2 linked regions of the Drosophila melanogaster genome follow. The protein of the gene in region 2 interacts with the protein of the main gene of each other region in a pairwise test. Each region holds a gene or a part of one and is shown on either strand. Other genes may lie near its edges.

Evidence for each region. Proteins that work in one complex are often made in the same cells at the same time.
Region 1: the proteins of mRpS5 (region 2) and cpb interact in a two-hybrid assay, tested with the Drosophila melanogaster proteins (one large-scale study listed by BioGRID).

What each region holds. Positions count from the first base shown.
Region 1 is NT_033779.5:1,703,012-1,706,769, reverse strand, and holds the start of cpb (capping protein beta), read right to left. Parts: upstream 1,869-3,758; 5' UTR 1,659-1,868; coding exon 1,656-1,658; intron 1,640-1,655; exon of another isoform or gene 1,493-1,639; coding exon of another isoform or gene 1,490-1,492; intron 1,371-1,489; coding exon 543-1,370; 3' UTR 1-542. UniProt on the Drosophila melanogaster protein: F-actin-capping proteins bind in a Ca(2+)-independent manner to the fast growing ends of actin filaments (barbed end) thereby blocking the exchange of subunits at these ends.
Region 2 is NT_037436.4:24,535,248-24,539,005, reverse strand, and holds the start of mRpS5 (mitochondrial ribosomal protein S5), read right to left. Parts: upstream 1,771-3,758; 5' UTR 1,693-1,770; intron 1,644-1,692; exon of another isoform or gene 1,609-1,643; 5' UTR 1,532-1,608; coding exon 1,390-1,531; intron 1,096-1,389; coding exon of another isoform or gene 1,094-1,095; exon of another isoform or gene 871-1,093; intron 1-870.

The DNA of each region.
Region 1 (3,758 bases), on a different chromosome or scaffold from region 2:
TAAACACAATATTTATTCGCGGAAGGATTAAGAACGAAACGCAAGTGCCTCGACTTCGGTGCAAATATGCATTATTACAAATAAGATACAAATACTTATGGATACTGTCTTGAGGGCGGCGAAGTTGGCATTTTCGGCTGAACTCTGGATGAAGCGCGACTCCAAACGGCAACAATGTGGGAGGACAGTTGAAACGGGCGGGCAAAATTTACATTAATGTGCTTCTCGTGGTGTAACAATTTTCTCATGTAACAAATTTACTGCCTAGAAATGCGTATTTAATATTTTTTAGTCAGCTCTTTAGTCCAGTCCAAGCGGAGTCCTCCACGGAGCTGCTCAACACAATTGGGCGAGTAACAGCGAATTGGGTGGGTGCAGCCGAAATATTATGAAAATTATTTATATTTATGACAATATTTAGTGGTGACAACAGTGCCTTGCAATTCGAATATTGCTGCGCTCTTCTTGGGAGCAGCCAGCTTGTGGGACGCCCCTGGACTGGATTGGTTTATGTGGAAATTCAGCCTTCAGCCGCTCAGTACTCAGTTCGATTCGGGCTTGACATTGCGTCGCAGGATTGCCGCTGCGAGGTCCTGCTTCATGGCCGCCTGCTGGCGCTGATCGGCCAGTGATTGTGTGCTCCTTAGTCCGTTCACGATGTCCTTGGTCTTGCCAAAGTAGATCTCGTTCAGGGTGTTCCTGATCTTGTTCTCCATCTCCTCGACCATCTTGCCAATGTTGGCGATGTGCGGCGACGACTCGCTGACGTTGGCGTCCTGCTCCTGCTGCCGGGTGAGGGATCCGCCCAGATTCATGGTTCCCGAACCCTGTTTGTTGGTCTGCAGCCAGAGCATTGCCGTGGAGGTGAGCTTGTAGTGGGCCGTCCTGCCGGTGGTCTTCTCCTGTACCTCGACCACATGGATGGAGTCCCAGCAGCCGCGGATCATCTTGCTGCCATCTCCCGCCTTTTTGATCAGTATAACGGCGGCAAACCCGTGATCCAGATCCCATAGGTAGACGGAGGAGACGCCTCCCTCGTAGTACATCTCCCTGTACTGATCGAAGGCATAGTTCGCCTCGATTTCCAGTTTGCGCAGTCGTTCCGAGGGCATTTGGCCATCCTCCAGCGGCGGATAGTAGGAGTTCGACCAGGGCGATCTGTAGGAGTCCCCATCCCGGTTATAGTCGCACAGCAGATAGTCCTTGCCGTGCTCCTTGTCCTTGGCGATCTTCAGCGGCTGGTCCACGGAGGAGAGCAAGTCCTCGCAGAGATCCGGTGCCAAGTCTATCAGATCAATAAGGTTCTTCTCGATCTGCTGGGGCGGCAGCCTCCGCATCAGATCCAAAGCACAGTCCATCTGCATTTCCGACTGAGAAGAGAGGAGAAGAGACACCAGTGAAATTGAATTTGAGTCACTGCACCACCGCCGATAAGAGAGCCCAAAAAATCCCTCCGCTTTCCACTGCCACCCGGCAAACCAGGGATTACCATATATGGGCATTATTTGAGGCCACAGGCCGCCGCCCCTCTGGAGGTTTTCTCGGTGGATTAGGTGATTGCCAAGAATATTTGGCTTGCAGAATGGGCGGTTCCGACCAAAAACACCGTTTGTTGGCCTGCTTTTTTTTCTTGTTACTATTGTAGTATTACTCACCATTTTGGTACTTTCTGCTTTCCCTTGTTTCGATAGTTTTACACTGTTTATGTTAGGGGCCTGCGTTCGCTGAGCAGGGCCGATCTTAAACTCTAGCTAGGATTTCGGGCTTATATTGCAAGTGATTGCACTAAATTGACTCTTTTTCCTTATTATTAGGATTTTTTATTTTTGCTATGGTGTGCTAGAGCTGGAACACAGCCCGATTATTATGCGATATCGTTCATTTTGGTGGAGCATCGATTGCTCGCTCGATTTGGTATATCGATTTCTTACCCGCTAACTATCTAGCGGAAATATTTGAAAATTAACATAACGAATGGCAGTTACTTACTTACAAAAGGCAATAATTTGCAGTACACTTTATAAAAATAAACTCTGGCACTCAATCCGCCCGAAATAAAACCATGGTCTTACTTTTATTATATTTTAGCAACAAGTTTATTGAATTTAGTTTTCGTTCATATACTTTTATGCTTAATTCCATTCTGGTTGCCCATTTCCTCTCCGTGTTTTGTGAGTTTCTGTTACAATGCGTTTGGTTTGTGTGTGACTGTGGGTTTAGCTTACTCGTAGTTTTTAATATGTTACACAAAAATGTATGGCATAATCGTAAATTTTTATCCGAGTTCGTGTTTAAAATATATTTAAGCTGCTTCGCTTTCGCACTCTTCAGACATACATACATACTTATTTAGAAATCATATGCGTGCTCCGAAAACGTATCCTTCTGAATCGATCCTTGGATTTCTTGATTTTTACATTAATTTTAGCCAAATACGTAGCGTGTGGGATTTTGCCTCGTTAGTAGTAGTAGGTTCAATAAACTTAATTAACCGCTTTGGGCTTAGACTCGCGCTTCAAGTGCGCTCTTTAGGTGTATACTTCGACCATATACGATAAATGTAAAATCTCAGACTTTAATTTTTAACTAAGGTGCACTACATACAGAAATCGTTCAGAGAAATGTGAACTAAATCGAGGGATTTTTTTTCGCAGCTCTGGATTTTTAGCCAGGATAAAAACTGTTACAGGTGACTTGTAAAATTAGGGCAGGTTTCACTAATCTCGAATAACTTAGATAATTATAATTTGTATTTCTTAGTCGTTCTTTTGAAGTTTAATATTTCGGCTAATTAATATTGATTTATTTACTTATGCTCTGTCGCATGCTAGACACTGTGCCAATATTCGAAATCAAAAGCGGTTTCAGATTCAATAATAGTACATAACTCCATTTTCAATCGTATTTCTCGTTTCATCGTTTTTCTTTCGCTCAATAATTATGCAACACTTGCTTATCAACGCTTCTTCGACAATCAAATGTAATCACAGTTTTATGTTTTCCTTCTTTATATAAACTCATTTTCATTTAGCTATTTATTTCACTATTTTCGCATTTCGCGTCGAGTATGTGTGTGTGTGTGTTTCTGTGAGTGTGTTTGTTGTGGCTTGTTCTTCTTGACTTGTGTGGGTGGTAAAACTAAAAATTCTTAGGGCTGGTTTACTACACGCCTAGTCCTCATGTGCTTCAAAAACTCACCTAACCTTCTCTCAATCCTCAATCTTCAATCATCGATCCTCGATCTTCAACCTTTCGGATCCCATGCTTATGAACATCTCAACTCACTGATCCTTGCCATGATCGCATATTAGATTATTAATACTATTACGTATTTAGAAAACTTTAAGAATATTGCACAACTTGTGAAAATGCTGATTCTGACTTCTGACCGACTGCCCGCTCGATTCGTTATAAGTTTTTAAAAATATTTCATTTAATATTTAATACCTGAGTTGTTCATAATCGTTTCGCATGATTATTACATCCGTTTTGCGGTTGCTTTCATAATTTTTTTTTTTTTTATCGTAATACATATCGAAAAAGTTTCTGTTTTTCTTCTCATTATTTATTTTTTTTTTTTGTTTGTATTAAATGCATGTATACATCGTCGTGAGTCTTGATAATGCCCTGAGTTTGCTCCAAACGGATTTGCGTTTTTTTAAAACTATTTTTTTTTTTGTTTTTCGTTTAACCTTATGCACGTAAAGTACTTCTCATTCCGAAATTCCCTCGCAAGTGGACCGTTGTCGTCTTTTTTG
Region 2 (3,758 bases):
TTTTAAATTTGACAAAATATGCCCTTCACCTTAGAAGTTCTTAGACTTTAAATCTATATTATTTTTAATCAATTGCCACCACGCGAAAAATTCTTGTTTTGCATTGCCTTAACGTTATTATTATTTAAATATAGCTTAGAAATAGTAATAGCCGAATCATAATATCACAAAATAAATTTCAAAAATTACTTTTTATTCGAATTTTTGTCAATAGAGTGTTCAGCATGCGACAATGATTGTTGAGTGCTTGTGTCCGCACTTCGTGCCTCAAGATATGACTTGCAATAAACAGTTTATTTTATAAATTTTTATTTTCTACAACGTATTATTTTTATGAAATATTTATTTCTCTTATGTCTTCTTTTTGGAAAATTTAACATTTAACTAGTTACAGTAGTTATAATAATTTCCTTTGTATTTGCTTTAATTATTAAGTATATTTATGAAGTCATTTGACTTAATATGAATATGATGTATGTAAATTATCCATTTTTAATAGATTCGGTTGTTCAGTTTCAGTTTTTTTTGTCTATTCCAATTTGATATATTTAAAAAGTGCGCACAAGCAAGCAAATTCTATTTTTAGATTTCTTACGCTCTCAGCGTAAGCAAGCGGACAGAGAGCAAATTAAACCGTCACTAAAAAAGTGGCTGCATAGTGCCAAACCAATGTATGAGCGTTACTTATCTTGTTATTCTAGTGTCTTTGGCTAGTGAAAGTGCAAACTAGAAATTTCAACATATTCAGACATCTCAAAAAATTGAGAAAATGACAAATAAAATGAAAACAAATTTAAAGTTTTGGCCGGTAAGTGGGCGTTAAAGGAGCATGGCCAAAAGGTTTTTTTTATACCGAGAAAAAATTTGCAAGTCAAATAATACGTTTTTTGTGGGGTTTTCAAATATTTATAAGAAAATACAGAGACATTTTCAAGACTGAAATATAAAGAAAAACTGTAAATATTTTTCAAAAGTATGGTCGCAGTAGTTTTGGGCGGATTGTAAGCGTGGAAAAAGTTTTTTGTCCATGGCCATATCGACTCGGCTAGTGACCCGATACTTCTAAATACGAAGGGTCATTATTACTGCAAAGTCCTTTAAATATGAGGAAAAAATAATATTTGTAAAAATACACGAAAATAATAAATCATTGTTGTTTAAATAAAAAATACATAATGATTCTGACATTTTTCTTTTAAAGGCTTTGAAAGATTCAAATTACACCTCGTGGAAATAATTTCTGACCCACTGTATTTCACTGTAAATCAGCCAGAAAAAGAATTCCTTGTTTCATTTTATTTGCACCATTACTACTACCTAGAACCATTTTTATCCAATGGCAGATAGAAACATTTCTGCTCTTTTATTGAATTAAAACATTTTACTTACATTTGTTAAAGAAGCTGGTATTACGTAAACCAATGTAACCTGGTAAAATGGGTTCATGTGAAGATAACAAGCTTTGGTTCAAAATAAAAATATTTCTGCTACAAGCTTGATTGAAGAGACGACGGATCAATGTTTGACTCATATTTACATATGAATTTATTAAGACGTTTTGATACTGAGGATATTTATGAGGTTAATACAGCAACACTAGCAGTAACGCTACAAAAAAAGACCAAATTAAAACAATTATAAGACGTGCGTCATGCTTTAAGACCCGTCCAGACTAGTCCTTCATAGTTATACCCGTTACTCCTAGAGTAAAAGTACGTAACAGACAGAAGGAAACGTTTCCGACCATATATATTCTTGATCAGAATTAATAGACGAGTGGATCCGTCTGTCCGTCTCTATGAACGTCGAGCTACCAGGAACGACTATTTGCATCGCTTTAGTCGAGTTCGATGACTATCAGTTACCCGTTACTCAGATCAAAAGAAATTGGGAAAATAGCAAATAATATAAGAACAAATTTATTTTTTTCAAATGTGTGGATGTGTTTTGACCAGTTAGTGGCCGTATAATGTGGCGTTGCCAAAAGGTGTTTATACTGATAGAAATTGACAAGAGAGATAAAACATTTTTTTGTGGTATTGTTGGCGTTCTAAGCATTTATTAGCAAAACGATATTCATTTACGAGACTGAAATATAATTGAAAAATCTAAATATCTAGTTTGGTCGCTGTAGTTTTGGGCGCATTGTGCGCGTGGCAAAAGTTTTTTGTCATATTGATAGAAATTAACAAAACTGATAAAAAAAACTTAATATATGTCAGAACATTATCCTTATGTGTAAGCGTAACACCATCAGTTAACAATGTTGCGCAGCGTCTACGTATATCTATAGACCTCAAATTTCTAGCTTTACTAGTTCCTTAGATTTCGATATCTATACGGACCATATATGGCCATATCGACTCGGCTAGTGACCCGGTACTTCTAAAAATAAAAGGTCATTGCACTACTGCAAACTCCCTGATATATGAGGAAAAAATAATATTTGTAAAAATACACGAAGTTAATAAATCATTATTGTCAATATAAACAATAAATGCAGATCCTTATATTTTTCTTCGTTAATATGTTATAGGTTTTAAAAGTTTTAAATTTCCCCCTGTTTAAGTCAGTCAGCCAAAAGTTTCATTTGTTAAATTTTATTTGTTCTTTTACTTTATGATTGAAACATTTGACTTACATTTGTTAAAAAAGTTGGTATTACGCAAGCGAATGTAATTTCTTAAAAGGGGTTCATTAGAAGATAACAAGCCTTGATTATTAAAAAAAAATGTTTCTGCGATAAGATAAAAGCCGTGTATAAATATAAAACACTAAGTGTAAGCTGTGTATAAATATAAAATACTAGGTGACACTAATATCGATAGAATTAATTGTATATTATTTGGCTGACTTTAAAGTGCGCGCGAGAATAGAGCTGGAGAATCATCGATGGTCGGCACTATCGATGGTTTTTTAAGAAAACATCGATAGTATGGATAGTTAAAAAGAAAACAAAAATAAAGGAACTATAATTTAACGTGAACCGATGTTTATATACCCTTGCAAATTAAAAAATATATATTACAGTAGCCCTTTAGAAAAATGCAGAAATACATGCACAGGAATTAAAATGCATTTTTAAACAAAAACGCTTTATTTGCTTCAATGCAAACTATTATTTGAATTAACGCAGTATTCAAAATATTTAGTAATAACAAAATAATGGTTTTTTATATTCATAATAAGACATATTCTTTCATATTCTGTTGAACTGGCCGGAATGCACAGGCACTTTTTACAAAGTTTGGTTATTGGCTTCAGACTCTCACTGTTTGCCTGAAAAGGGATAAATTCATTAATATTTAATTTAAAAAGTAAAAATGATATTCTTACAATCCAATAAGCAGTTAAAAGAAATGCCCTTGCACAGAAATTACCACTTCAATGCGAATCAAATACTTTGTGAATGTATAAAATAGCATTAGTTATTAAGAAATTGTTTGAGGAACACGCAAAGCGGAATGGATTCGTTTTAATTTGTGCAAAGGATCAATTTTTACATTTCGATTTATCGGGCATCAAATATGCAAATTGTTAAAATGGTGTTGGCATTTTGATCGGATCAGACATCGGATCGACCAGACACGGTCGAAGGGAAGCAGTCAGGAAGAAGCACTTCTCATTGCACATCCGCAGGCAGGCGCTGGCCGATGACTTCTTAGCAAACTCAACTATGCCCTCGCCCATATGCTTGCCAGAATCGTCGACGGTGATGCTGGCCCTCTCGATGGGACCAAAGATTTCGAAGGACTTGT